3 linked regions of the Saccharomyces cerevisiae S288C genome follow. The gene in region 1 interacts genetically with each later gene. Each region holds a gene or a part of one and is shown on either strand. Other genes may lie near its edges.

The links.
Region 2: mutations in MSO1 (region 1) and SEC4 together harm fitness more than expected from each alone (negative genetic interaction), as found in Saccharomyces cerevisiae (5 studies listed by BioGRID, with this or other methods).
Region 3: mutations in MSO1 (region 1) and SNC2 together harm fitness more than expected from each alone (negative genetic interaction), as found in Saccharomyces cerevisiae (3 studies listed by BioGRID).

The regions. Positions count from the first base shown.
Region 1 is NC_001146.8:711,759-715,964, forward strand, and holds MSO1 (Mso1p), read right to left. Parts: upstream 1,898-4,206; coding exon 1,265-1,897; downstream 1-1,264. Other genes in the region: YNR048W (putative aminophospholipid translocase regulatory protein), read left to right, coding at 1-1,053; LYS9 (saccharopine dehydrogenase (NADP+, L-glutamate-forming)), read right to left, coding at 2,290-3,630. UniProt on the Saccharomyces cerevisiae protein: Involved in secretion. Component of the secretory vesicle docking complex.
Region 2 is NC_001138.5:126,029-131,481, reverse strand, and holds SEC4 (Rab family GTPase SEC4), read right to left. Parts: upstream 1,149-5,453; coding exon 501-1,148; downstream 1-500. Other genes in the region: proteasome activator BLM10, read right to left, coding at 1,572-5,453. UniProt on the Saccharomyces cerevisiae protein: Involved in exocytosis. Maybe by regulating the binding and fusion of secretory vesicles with the cell surface. The GTP-bound form of SEC4 may interact with an effector, thereby stimulating its activity and leading to exocytotic fusion.
Region 3 is NC_001147.6:930,234-935,449, forward strand, and holds SNC2 (SNAP receptor SNC2), read right to left. Parts: upstream 849-5,216; coding exon 501-848; downstream 1-500. Other genes in the region: MYO2 (myosin 2), read left to right, coding at 1-212; ATP-binding cassette multidrug transporter PDR10, read left to right, coding at 1,570-5,216. UniProt on the Saccharomyces cerevisiae protein: SNC1 and SNC2 are vesicle-targeting proteins essential for normal secretory traffic between the Golgi and the plasma membrane. They may also be involved in vesicle fusion.

The DNA of each region.
Region 1 (4,206 bases):
CCACAGAGCGTACTGCCGTTGCTTATTTTGATGGCATGCGTCTTCGCACCCATTGGTATAGGGCTGGTGGTCAGCACGATAAGTGTCCAAAGACTAGTGGTAAACTACACAGAATGTGATGCATTGGCACCGGCGAAGCATTTTGAAACGATTCCCTCCGAGTACGTGGACTACCACTTCAGTAAGAAAGTCGCAGTCCAACCTCAATGGATGGTACTTACGGATCCTGAATTAGGCAATCAAACTTGTCGAATACAGTTCGAAGTTCCAAATCATATCAAGAAATCTACTTATGTTTATTACCGCCTAACAAATTTCAATCAAAACTATAGAGAATATGTGCAATCTCTTGACCTAGACCAATTAAAAGGAAAAGCATTGATCGGAAATGATCTGGATCCAAACTGTGACCCTTTAAGGACGGTAGAAAATAAGACCATATTCCCCTGTGGATTGATAGCAAATTCGATGTTCAATGATACATTCGGCACAACACTTACTGGTGTAAACGATACTGCAGATTATTTGCTTACCACAAAAGGTATTGCGTGGGACACCGACAGCCACAGATATGGAAAGACCGAATACAATGCATCCGATATCGTACCGCCCCCAAATTGGGCCAAGTTATTTCCCAATGGCTACACTGACGATAACATTCCAGACCTACAAAACTGGGAACAGTTCAAAATATGGATGAGAACTGCTGCATTGCCCAACTTCTATAAGCTAGCAATGAAAAATGAGACCAATGGGTTAGGTAAGGGTATTTACATTGCTGATATAGAACTCAACTACCCAGTAAGATCTTTCTATGGAACAAAATCTTTTGTATTAACCACAAACAGTATTATCGGTGCTGGAAACGAGGCATTAGGGATTGTTTATTTGATTGTTGCCGGGATTGCAACTCTTTTCGCCATACTATTCCTGATAAAAGTCATCTTCAAACCAAGACCTATGCATGATCATAGCTACCTAAATTTTGAGAACAGCGATACCCCATTCGATGAGAGTAGTGTCGTTAGTATTCCATTGAGAGAAATTTTATGATTGATTATCATTTACTATAAAATCCCTGCGTTTGATTCGGTCTCTAGGGAAGCGTTGTAATTTCATGTATATTCAAAATAAGGACGAGGTTATATACCATACTATATTATCTCCTTGCATTCTGTATCAAACACTTTATTCAGTACATATACGATACCTATATATTCATTAAATGTTCTTTTCGCTTTATTTCAGCAAGGTATAGTGCTATTTAAAATCCATAATCGTTATTGCGTCTCTTTAGTCTGTCCTTCATTGCCATTACTCCACTACTTGCGTCTGGTGGCGGCGTTGGCGTGCTGGAGGTGTTGAAACTGTTCGACGTTTTACTTCGACCGAGACTTGCCCTGAATTCTTGGCCTGCTGAAGGTCTAGTCGGCCGTGATGAAGCTCTTCTCGGTGTCGCGCTAGAGGAGCTTGTATGATTATTGTATATATCTTGAAACGATTTACTCGCAGGCGTGTACTCCGGTGTGTTCCCGTTTGAAGAAGGTGTACCCATAGGATCTTCTGAAGAAGCCTTCCTTCTGTTAGAAAAGGATGGCGAGAAATGACGCGAGTTTTGCTTCTTCATATCATGCTTCACTTGAGTATCTAATATTTTACGTTCGTTCGGTAAATCTTCCTTCTCCCCCAACCATCCTGGGAACCCCTGGAAAGGATGCTGATTTTCATAGAATTTCACAAGCCCTTTATGGACCAATGTAGTATTTACAGTATCACCATCTTTTTCTGCTTTAATGGATAAATGTGCCAACGATGTAGATAACGATTTGGTTGACGACTTAAACTTGTTCCAAAATCGCCCGGATCCTTCTTGGGAATGCGATACTTGACTCATCATATGCGTGAAATCTTAGTTATACTGGTAGTTGGTATTAGGGCCTAGCGTCTAATAGTTAGTTGGCGTTTTATTTTTTTGCACCTTTCCTAATAGTATTAATCTCTAAAAGTGAAAAACTCCTAAGAGTCTTTACGAGCTCATTTAATACGTTCTGATCAGAAGCAAGACTATAAAATGCAATAGCCAATACTTTTTAGACTAAAGGTAGACGACTTACTAGCGGTTCAAGCTTCAGGAACTACACTCTCAATTACGTTCTAGTCCATTTTGTCCCTCTTTCCGGTTTTTTTTTTTTTACGTTTCCTTATGAAAGTATAAGTAATACTAAAGAAAGATTTATAAAGTGCCGTTACTGTTACGTATGATAAACCTTTTGATACATTTCTTCTTATTTAAGCCACTGTCTTTTCCTTTAGATAGATGCCGTACTTGTCCTTTAGTTCTTTCATGATTGGATCATTAATCTCTGGTGAGTATGGCGCTAGTAAGCCTGGTCCCTTGATTGTACCATCTAAGACGAATTTCGTTGCAATGGCAACTGGATAACCAACAGTAGCGGCCATAGAACTGTAACCACCAACCTTACCATAGTCAACTAAAGTGGATGTTCTTGTTTCGGTAGTTCCATCAGCCCATTCAATACCGAATTTGTGTTGTAGTACAACCATATCTCTTTCATTGTCTTCATATTGCATTAGTTCTTCTAAACGTGCACATAGAGTGTCTAAAGCATTACCTCTTGGTGTGATCTTTGCGTCAGAGAACAAGCCTAACCAAGCAAACCCGGAAAGGATTCTTTCTCTATCTTCATCATCTTTCCAAGTAGCCTTTGAGTCAATGGAAGCAATCAAATCTTCTTTAGAAGTAGACTTGGCACCTAAATATTGTTTTAGTGCTTCGTTCCAGGCAATTGGCTTGCTGAAGATTTCGTTAGCATCATCCTTCAACATACCCATGTCAACTAAAGCCTTAACAAATTCTGGGAAACCTTGATATCTCAAAGTACCTCTAATGACCGTTTCGGCTTCTGGAATATGATAAAGATCCTTGAAAAGGGTAGAGTCTCTATTTGGGTAGCAAACGAATGCATAACCTGGGTAGATGAAGTAAGGCTTAGCAGTGGCCATTAAGTCTTCGGAAGAAACAGTTTCAATCTTTCCGTCTTTCCAGTATTTAGCAGAGTTTCTTAAAGCCAGTAGCACACCTCTGGAGGACCATGAAAATTTGTATCCTAATGGATTATCAGAGTCTTCAGGAGCTGGTAAACCACCACAGTATGACAAGAATGACTTTAGCTTACCACCAGCTCTGTGAACTTCATCAATAGTCTTGACCGCATACAAGTGGTCGATACCTGGATCCAACCCAATTTCGTTCATAACTGTAATACCTGCCTTTACGATTTCTGGTTCCAATTCTCTTAAGGCAGGTGAGATGTAAGAGGAAGTGACGACATCGGTCTTTGTTCTGATGGCGCTCTTTACCACATTTGGATGGAAGGTGTATGGAATCAAAGAGATGACAACATCGTTATCAGCCAGAACTTTGTCTAAGGCACTGTCATCGGTAACATCCAATGAAATAGCCTTGGATCCAGAGGGCTTGGCCAATGCTTGCGCATTGGCTAATGTTCTACATGCGACAGTGACATTGATGTCATCATTAGCAGCCAATGTGTCGATAACAGGTTGTGCAACAAAACCAGATCCTAGCAACAAAACGTTCTTTCCCATATTAAAATATATAATACGTTAATATAACTCAATTGTCCTGATAAGTTTTCCCTACTGCCTAAGGATCCTTCCCATGTAATTTTACCAGGACCCTACGGTTTATATACCATTAAGCCAAATTCTGTGCTACTTTCTATCATCTATTGCTGATAATTCCATTGGAAATTCTCAATACCCTTTATTGACATCTTTATTTTTCACTACAAAGCGAATTTTTCCAACGGAATTTCGATTCCAGAGTATGAGTAATTCTTTTCACTACTAAACGCATTGCTTCGTGGTCAGTAGTAACCGCAATCACACTCTTCACTTCTGTTGTGGTGAATATCAAAAGAAACAAGAGATCATCCACAATTTCCTCAGCTTGACTTGTCTGCAGTTGCGATTAAAATTTGACTTTTGCTCCACCGCTCTCTACAGGTATTATATTTGGAAATCATCAAATGATGGGAATCCCCTACGTGGCACTTAGATACGATACATAAGACTCTTGCATATGTAGCTACCAACGTGGGAAAACCTTTCAAGTAACAGTTTGTTTGCTCTTAGCAACTTCTAGCCCTAATGAAAAAAAAT
Region 2 (5,453 bases), on another chromosome or scaffold:
GAGTGATTATGCAACCATACAGGAACCTTACATAAGCGCAAGTAGTTGAATAGTGGATTCAAGAAGCAAAACTTTACTACCGGTAAAAACATTAGAACGAAATAAAAGTGCTGAATCTTAAAAGTAAAATATATACTTGGATAAGAATTCCCAGGGAAACTGGGAACCTCGTTTTCCTGTTGCACTATTTTTTAGATTCTTTCTTGATTTTTTACCAATCGCCTGATGAAAATACCTTCCAGAGCAGAGAACAACAGTAGAAGTATGCTGAAAAAGTTAGTGTGAGAAGTTTGAATTGTTTAGATAATATAAAAGTGACATCTAATATGACTAATATAAAAATAGTAAGTATGGTAATCAAAAAAAGATACAAACAATGTATATATATAAAGGAAAAATAACCTGCGAATATTGAGAAAAAGGGAAAAAAGAATCAAGCGATTTATAGCTCTAATTCCAGTTCACGATTAATTCTCAAAGAAGCAAAAATCTTCTTTTCTTCAACAGCAATTTGATTTAGAACTGTTTCCGCTCCCACTATTGATGCTAATATTGCCCTCTTTACCGTTACCGACGCCAACAAGCTTGTTACTGTCGATTTTTTCTTGGATTAACTTCGCCAAGGTGAAAAAAATCTCGTTGACATTGTCATCGTTCTTAGCACTGGACTCGATGAATGGTATACCCAGCTCCTTAGCCAAGGCTTCACCTTGATCAGCTGTTACCACTCTCGTCTCCATATCGCTCTTGTTACCAACCAACAGTAGCTGTGCTTCATCGTTCGCATGCTCATTAACGGTTTTAAACCATTGCTTGATATTAGTAAATGTTCTCTCGTCTGTCACATCATATACAAGAATGATACCCATAGCACCACGATAATACGCTGTGGTGATTGTCCGGAAACGTTCTTGACCAGCGGTATCCCAAAGTTGCAGCTTTACCTTCTTACCGTTGATATCGACAGTCTTTATTTTGAAATCAATACCAATGGTGGTGATAAATGACGGGTTAAATTTGTCTTCAACAAAACGAACCAATAAACATGATTTCCCAACACCAGAATCACCAATCAATAAAATTTTCATAATAGAGTCATAGCTCTTTCCATTACCGGATGAAGCAGAAACAGTTCTCAAGCCTGACATGTTTATCTTGTTATGTTTATATTCTTTCTGGTGAACGATACGCCCTCGTGTATATACAGTATGTCTACTTTTTCTCCTTTTCTTATTCTTCCAAAAAAAAAAGTTCCTAGTTTATTTTCTTGGAATTGCAATAGGTTGGAATAATGGATCACTAAAAGACAAGCTATAGTGGGTAATTCAAGTTTCCAGCTTCCCTAGAGGTAGAATGCTTTGTTTGGTATAACGTTTCCCTGCCGTTGATCATTCTCAGTGGTGAACTTCCAGTTTTCCTCAAAATTGATTTATTACCCGGCACGCAGCCGTGATCATAGTTACACTAACAACTTACTTTTAGAGTAAAACTAATCAGCAGATAGCTCCAGCTATTTGTTTAGATGTACATATATGTCTAGATATGTGCTTAATATCCTATACTAATATGAATCAGGCATAGTAACTTCTCCATAGGACACCCTCCAGGTCTTCCAGTTCCTCCGTATTGAAAGATGCTCTATCGAACTTCCAAGTGTCGGCCCTCACCTTCTTGAACTCACTAATAGTATTTTTGGCAGCTTGTCCAGTCATACCACTAGTCCTGGCCCACGAGGATAAGTTGCTTAGTTGCTTGGGTATCCATGGCGGTAGGGGAAAAACATAGGGGAACGCTGATATAATAGCTCCCAAACCCAAAACGTTACCATGAATCTTGATATCCGTTTTGGATAACTTTTGTCTTTCTTTCGACGTGTATTTGTTGACGTCGAGACCCTTTGCAAATCTCTCGATTAAACTCAACAACGGCTGTTCCTCTTTCCAGTTATGGACGATATCAGACAAAATGGATGCCGCACGAACTCTCACCTCTACAAACTGTTCGTTATACAAATTGCTGACAACAAATTCCAAAATTTTGTTCTTTTCTTCCTCAGTAAGTTGAAGCAGTTCCGCTGATAAAAAGTGTTGGATGAAAGCTAGCTGTAGTTTCGTTTGGTTTGAAGATAGTGCTACATTTGACGAACAAACATAGTCAACAATGGCGGCAACATGGTTCTTTCTGATCGGCATATAGCCCAAGCCGGCATACAATCGAACAGGATCTAAACTGGCAAGAGCACAAACATCTTTATGTTTCACTAATCCGATCAGAAATGGTAAAACATAATCGACTAAATATGGAACTAACAAAACTTTATTAGGCCCTCTCGCCATTTCTTTGATCCAATAAAATATTGTGGATGTCCTGTAAAAATAGTCTGTCTTAATAAATTGTTGAGGATTCAGGCCGACAACGGAATCTTCCAGATTTTTAATGATCTCAAACTGCTTCTTAATATAGGCATCCACCTTTTCTGGGACGCTTTTTAATGGTAACCCTAATCCATCTGGATCATTCCGTTCTGCTTCTAATAATGTGGTTGGATCTGAAATTGACGGATTACTTTGATTTTGAACTAAGGTCGTCAATAGTTTAGCGACAGCCTGGCGAACCTGATCGTATGGGTGATCAAATACCAACTCATCAAATAGCTTACCAACATCTGGGGCTCTAAATTCCATGCTCATCAAGATACTTCTTAGCATGTAAATTTTGGAGGTTTGATGTGTGGCTGCATCAGATTCACGGTCAAACATGCCATCGGCGTTGATAAAATGGCAAAAAAAAGTTTTAGACCTTCTTAAATCAACGACTGCAGGCAACCACCATGCCAAGGTGCTCCAAATTTCAAATGCGTCATGGTTCAACTCATAATCTAAACATTTGGCTAGGAAGTTTTCGATAAAAGTGTCACGTTTGTCCAAGTCAGAGACTGACATAAACTTACTCCCGCAAACTAAGCCAGCCACTATCTCGACAGACATGATCATCGAAGCCTTATCGTCTTTGTTATAGTAGGATTCACATAGCTCAAAGAGATCCGACATATTCAGTTCGCAGAAACCAGATGATATCAAAAGGATTACTAAAGAGAAAAATGACACGTTACCACTACTAAAAACACCCCTAGTTTCATTATCTTGGACTAAATTCATTGTAACATCTCTCAGGAATTCTCTTGTCAATAGATGACCAGCTGTCTTGAGGACTTCCAGTTCATTCTCACGTAAATTGAGCTTTAAAGCTTTCGGCGACATGACGTACATAAGCCTTCCCCAACATAGCCACCCTACATACGCCCTCAAATCGATAAAATACTTGGGGTTATCAAAGTTATTCATTTCTTCAGTAAACGTTTTAGGGAAGCTTGTGGTCGAAGTGTCCAGTATTTCCACAAATGATGGATTGAATTCATTCTTATAGGCCCTGGTGATGTCATATTCATAGTCAGAGAGAGATATTATCTTGTTGCACGTCGACAACAATGACTTTACAACCAAATGTATGATTTCGGGATGTTTTGTGGAGATTTGGGAGATTATTGAAAATACTGCTCTTTTATCGGGTTTGCTTTCGAGGTTCGATTGGATTTGTGTAACAAAACGTAAAATGAACATTCTTATCTTCCACCCCATATCTTTTTCATTATCTAATTTGTCTAAAAGTTTGTCCTGCAAATCCACTAACAGAGAGAGGTAGTACTCACGCTTTTTCTTTTTGGCAAGCTTTACCGCTTCAACTTGCAAATTAATAGTACCATCAGGAGGTGCTAAAGGTAAGAAAGCTTGATCGGAAATGACACATACACTAGAAGGAATCTTGATCCCAATCACTATGTCAGTTAAGATTTTATCTGCATACATACCAATCTCTAATTCATTCACACGACAACATTCAATAAGCAGAAATATCAATCTGCCGATGTCTTTATAATCCGTCATAAGCTTCCTATGGATTTTCTTAATTAACAAAACATTTAAAATAACTTGGATTTTCATATAATCATGATCCTTAATCGCTTTCTCTAATGATGGAATAATTTTATTGATGACTACGCCATATGACCCAACTAATTGTTTCATACAGTGTACCAAAGTTCCCTGTGCTGGTTTATAAATATCAGGATAAAGGGATGTCGCTAACTGTATGATGTCAACTAACAATAGGTTTTCCAGCTTGGAAGCTTTTCTATTTGTTGAATGTAATAGAACTCTACTCTGGTGCAAACTGTTTGCTCTGATTGCAAAATTGGTTCTCGTGAAGGGCTCATTTACGTGTGAGAGAGATTGAACGTTTTCTAGGAAATCAACGTCAATGAAGGCATTTGGGTCTTCATTGAAGACCGTTTCTTGTCCCAGATCTGTGAACCAAACTTTCAATCCGTGCAATAGAATTTGGAACATGTTGGTGTTGTTTTCGAAGTTTGTAGATAAAAAAACATAGAGTTTGTGAAAGAAATGTCCAATGCGCGCTCTAACTCTGTGGACTTGTAAATATTGTGGGTTTTGTAACTTCTCCTCAGTGGTATTTCCGAAGTAATAATTACAGGTGTAAATATCTAAATCCCTGAAAGCTAGATCCGAACTCATAGCTGAATTGTCCGTGCCATGCGTCCCCGCGATAGGGGTATTTACACCAGATGGCATCTCAGACACTACTTCTTCATCAACAATTAATTCATCCGGAAACTCATCTCTTAACTGCACAACATCGGAAACTCCTGCATTCAGCCCTGCTTCAATGTCCTTACTCTCAATATAGTCTTCATCATCCTTGCCAGAACGAATTTGTTCAATATCAATATCCAGTTCTTGAGGGTCACAATTATTTTCGCGTATATTCTTTAATAAAATCAGTTTCTCTCTGTATGATAAGTTTGATTGCGTCCTATATTTGTTAAAATCTGGATCAAAAAGTAAACTTGACCCGGAAAGCGTATGTGTCATAACTAAAACATATTTTTGTATCATATCGCCATATTCGGAATCATGTCTTGGAGCTTTCATCAGTTCTTCTACGTTGTTAATACAGTATTCGGAAAGGCTTTCTAGAATGCTTATGGATAAAGTTATCTCGTCACTAGAAGGTACGTGCCACTGAAAACTCAAATGCTGTTTATCAAATCTTCGAGGATCGAACTGTAGTCCTCCCCATCTGTCTTTTTCCGGAATCTTAGAGTCCTCTGGGAATAGACGACAATCAGTTATTTCGGTTGTACATAGAGTTGCTAAAGCACTGTGAATAACAATAGATGTGATAACATCCAATGGCGGGTTAGTGACGTTGTCGTATAAATATTTCATGAATGTTATCAACTCATCGCTATACTCCAATAGAGATTCATGACATTGCCTTAAGACATCATTTAGTGCAGTTAAGTATAAAACTAACTTAACATCCCTCTGTTGAATCTCTGAAGTACTTCTTACAGACCCGGCGCCTCTTTTGAT
Region 3 (5,216 bases), on another chromosome or scaffold:
TATCTTCATCAGGTAATGATTCTAAGGGTCACGAGCATAGCAGCAGTATATTTATCACTCCAGAAACAGGTCCATTTACTGACCCATTCAGTTTGATAAAGACAAGAAAATTTGACCAAGTAGAAGCCTATATACCAGCGTGGTTATCCTTGCCCTCAACTAAGAGAATAGTTGACCTTGTTGCCCAACAAGTCGTTCAAGACGGCCACTAAAACTGATGGCGCGAGAAACAAAATTGTACATGAATGCTAAAAAAAGAAATGACAAAAAAAGAGAAAAAAAAAAATGAAACTACATAGTTAATTAATAATAGAAGTATTTGTCAATAGTATGATAATGAAATCGATATTATGGAAGATATTAACCGCGCGCCGTATTAGTGTACACTATATTAAACTACATTTTGCTTCTTACTGAATTTATAAATTATGATTATATTATTATTACTATTATGACTACTGTATATATTTTTTAGAATTAGCATCGGGAACCGATGAGCGTTAGCTGAAATGGACGACGATAGGAACGATAATTACCACTAGTAAAATAATAACAACTAAGAATAAACACATTCTCATTTTTAGATCTTTCCACCACATTTGCTTTCTGACCCTGTTGGCGCCTCTCTTGAATCCTTGTGCGGAGATAGCCAAGTTATCAGCTTTGTCCTCAATGGATGTTAGCCTTTCACCACGTTCAGCAACCTTGTTGATATTATCTCTCATTATTCCCACCGTGTCATCAATCTCTTGTCTCAAAGCAGCAGTCTTGTTTTGGGAATTTGGGTTTGCGCCTGAGTTACTCTCCTCTGGAGGCACATATGGATCGTATGGCACTGATGACGACATCGTTGCGCGTTCTTATTTTGTATTTGGAAGTGTTTCGAATGTATGCCTGACTTACAGATACTATTCACTGAGCAGATAGTTTACCTTTCTATAAAATATTAAAGGCTGTTTCAACCAAAACTTGAAGGAAAACTAACTGGCTCCCCGCTTTTGCATCTTTTGGGTGCGACAACTGGTGTTTGTTTGGTTGCGCTGCACCATTCGCGCTATAATGCCAAAATCCGAAGAATTTTGAGCCACTTTTGCGGAAGACAGGGAGAAAAAATAAAAAAAAAGTCACGCGTATATCATGTGACCAAGATCACTATAAACGCTCCGTGGAATGCGCTTTTAGGGCGACTGAATGATTCCATGGTCATTGTTACAGCCGCCCGTGGCTTTGTTCCACGGACTGATAAAGGGATACGCTAAGACCAGAAAAACCCTTAATATTCAATATAGTACAGTACTACTACAGAATTGGTCGGCATATTTTTATTTTGTTCGTATTAATAATACACCTGCTGTCATCAGTACCAATAATTTGATAGGTTTTCCCCACATAGTGCGCCTTATGTAAGTATATAAGGAAGGACGGTTGGGCAAGCATCTTACTTTCTTATCTCTCCCCGTGACAGAACCATAGAAGATATCTAGCGTTATTATATTTCTATACTTAGTAAACGTTTCCGGTATAGTAGAAAAATCAAACAATAATTTCTGGTCTTACATAGTTGTTAGGATGTTGCAAGCGCCCTCAAGTTCAAACTCGGGTTTGAATCAAGGAAATGCTGCGCCGGACGGCCCACCTAACGAAACACAGCCGTACGAAGGCCTCGACGCGGCAGCTCAAGAAGAAATAAAAGAATTGGCAAGAACGCTGACGAGCCAATCTTCCCTTTTATCGCAAGAAAAGCGTATTACCGGCACTGGCGACCCGAATACACTAACTGCTGCTTCTTCATCGTCATTGAGCCGGTCAATTTTCGCTAGTGATATCAAGGGAGTTAACCCAATCCTTTTGGACGTCAATGATCCAGACTACGATGAGACATTGGATCCTCGATCAGAAAATTTCTCGAGTGTCAGATGGGTACGAAATATGGCACAAATATGCGAGAATGATTCGGATTTCTATAAACCGTTTTCATTAGGTTGCGCCTGGAAAGATTTGAGTGCCTCCGGTGATTCTGCCGATATAACATATCAGGGAACATTTGGTAATATGCCCATCAAATACTTGAAAATGAGTTGGAGGTGCATATCCCGACGTCTTTTCCACCGGACACATGGCAAGAGTGAAGATAATGACTCCGGTTTCCAAATTTTGAAGCCGATGGACGGATGCATCAATCCGGGGGAACTACTTGTTGTGCTTGGACGACCCGGTGCAGGATGTACTACGCTGCTGAAATCTATATCTGTAAATACACACGGATTCAAGATTTCTCCGGACACAATCATCACGTACAATGGATTCTCCAACAAAGAGATCAAAAACCATTACCGTGGTGAAGTGGTCTACAATGCAGAATCAGACATTCACATCCCGCACTTGACAGTATTCCAAACTTTATACACAGTGGCAAGACTGAAGACACCAAGGAACCGAATCAAGGGTGTCGATAGGGACACATTTGCCAAACACATGACTGAAGTGGCAATGGCAACTTACGGACTGAGCCACACTGCAGATACAAAAGTGGGTAATGATTTTGTTCGTGGTGTATCCGGGGGAGAAAGGAAAAGAGTTTCCATTGCTGAAGTGTCTATATGTGGCTCGAAGTTTCAGTGCTGGGATAATGCCACGAGGGGCTTAGATTCTGCTACCGCGCTGGAGTTCATCAAGGCCTTGAAAACGCAAGCCACTATCACAAAGTCTGCAGCCACTGTGGCCATTTACCAATGTTCTAAAGATGCCTATGATTTGTTCGATAAAGTCTGTGTTCTTTACGATGGTTACCAAATCTTCTTTGGCCCAAGTAAGCAGGCCAAAAAGTACTTTCAAAGAATGGGATATGTGTGTCCCGAAAGGCAGACCACAGCAGATTATTTGACCTCTATTACTAGTCCTTCTGAAAGAATTAAGGACAAAGACATGGTCAAACATGGAATTATGATCCCACAAACGGCCTATGAAATGAACCAGTACTGGATTCAATCAGAGGAATACAAACAATTACAGGTGCAGGTGAACAAACATTTAGATACAGACTCTTCCCAGCAAAGAGAACAAATAAAAAATGCACATATTGCCAAACAATCTAAGAGAGCACGGCCCTCCTCTCCTTATACAGTAAGTTTCTTTTTGCAAGTTAAGTATATTCTAATCAGGGATATATGGAGGATTAAGAATGACCCAAGTATTCAACTTTTCACGGTTTTGAGTCATGCAGCAATGGCTCTTATCTTGGGATCAATGTTTTATGAAGTCATGCTTTCCACTACCACAACAACCTTTTATTACCGAGGCGCGGCTATTTTTTTTGCTATTCTGTTCAATGCGTTCTCATCACTTTTAGAGATCTTTTCACTCTATGAGACGAGGCCCATTACCGAAAAGCACAAGACTTACTCGTTATATCGCCCAAGTGCTGATGCCTTCGCCTCTACATTTTCTGATGTTCCAACAAAATTAGCCACGGCAGTAACTTTCAACATACCATATTATTTTTTAATCAATCTAAAAAGAGATGCCGGTGCTTTTTTCTTTTACTTTTTAATAAACATTATAACAGTTTTTGCTATGTCGCATTTGTTCAGATGCATTGGCTCAGTGTCGAAAACTTTACCTCAGGCAATGGTTCCCGCATCTGTTCTTCTGTTAGCTTTTGCAATGTACACTGGGTTTGCCATCCCAAGAGTCCAAATGCTTGGCTGGTCAAAATGGATTTCTTATATCAACCCATTGTCTTACCTTTTTGAATCGCTAATGATTAACGAATTTCATGGTAGAAATTTCCCATGTGCTCAGTATATACCTAGTGGGCCAAATTATGTCAACGCAACAGGTGACGAAGTCACCTGCTCCGCCCTCGGTTCTATCCCAGGAAATAATTATGTAAGTGGTGATGATTTCATTCAAACGAACTACGGCTATCGACATAAGAACAAATGGCGGTCTGTTGGTATTGGTTTAGCATACATTATTTTTTTCTTATTTCTGTATTTATTCTTTTGTGAATACAATGAAGGAGCAAAGCAAAATGGTGAGATGTTAGTATTTCCCCATAGTGTGGTTAAAAAGATGAAGAAGAAGGGTATTGTCTCTGAGAAGAAAAAGAAAAACCAACCAACGTTGTCAACATCTGATGCTGAGAAAGATGTAGAGATGAACAACAATTCAAGTGCGACTGATTCAAGATTTTTACGCGATTCTGATGCAGCTATAATGGGTAACGATAAAACTGTCGCCAAGGAGCATTATTCATCTCCTTCATCTTCTGCGTCTCAAAGCAATAGTTTTAGTAAAAGTGATGACATTGAATTGTCCAAATCACAAGCGATTTTTCATTGGAAAAACTTATGCTACGATATCCCGATTAAGAATGGGAAGAGGAGAATTTTGGATAATGTTGATGGTTGGGTCAAGCCTGGTACACTAACTGCCTTGATTGGCGCATCTGGTGCAGGAAAAACAACGTTATTAGATTGTCTTGCCGAGAGAACCACGATGGGTTTAATCACTGGTGATGTATTCGTAGATGGTAGACCGCGGGACCAGTCTTTCCCCAGATCAATTGGTTATTGTCAGCAGCAGGATTTGCATTTGAAAACCGCAACTGTGAGAGAGTCATTAAGGTTTTCCGCGTACCTGCGTCAAGCCGATGATGTATCCATCGAGGAGAAAGATAAATACGTTGAAGAAGTCATTGAGGTATTGGAGATGAAACTTTATGCTGATGCCATAGTAGGCGTTCCTGGTGAAGGTTTAAATGTGGAACAAAGAAAAAGGTTAACCATAGGTGTGGAGTTAGCTGCCAAACCAAAACTGTTGGTATTTTTAGATGAGCCCACGTCTGGGCTTGATTCCCAAACTGCATGGTCAACTTGTCAATTAATGAAGAAATTGGCTAGTCGCGGACAAGCAATTTTATGTACCATTCATCAACCTTCTGCTCTCTTAATGCAAGAGTTTGATAGGTTACTATTTTTGCAAGAGGGCGGACAAACTGTATATTTTGGAGAGCTAGGGAAAGGTTGCAAAACAATGATTAACTATTTCGAAGCTCATGGTGCCCATAAATGCCCACCAGATGCCAATCCAGCCGAATGGATGTTAGAAATAGTAGGTGCTGCACCAGGAACTCACGCTAGTCAAGATTATTTTGCCATTTGGAGAGATTCTGAAGAATATAGGGAAATGCAGAAAGAGTTGGACTGGATGGA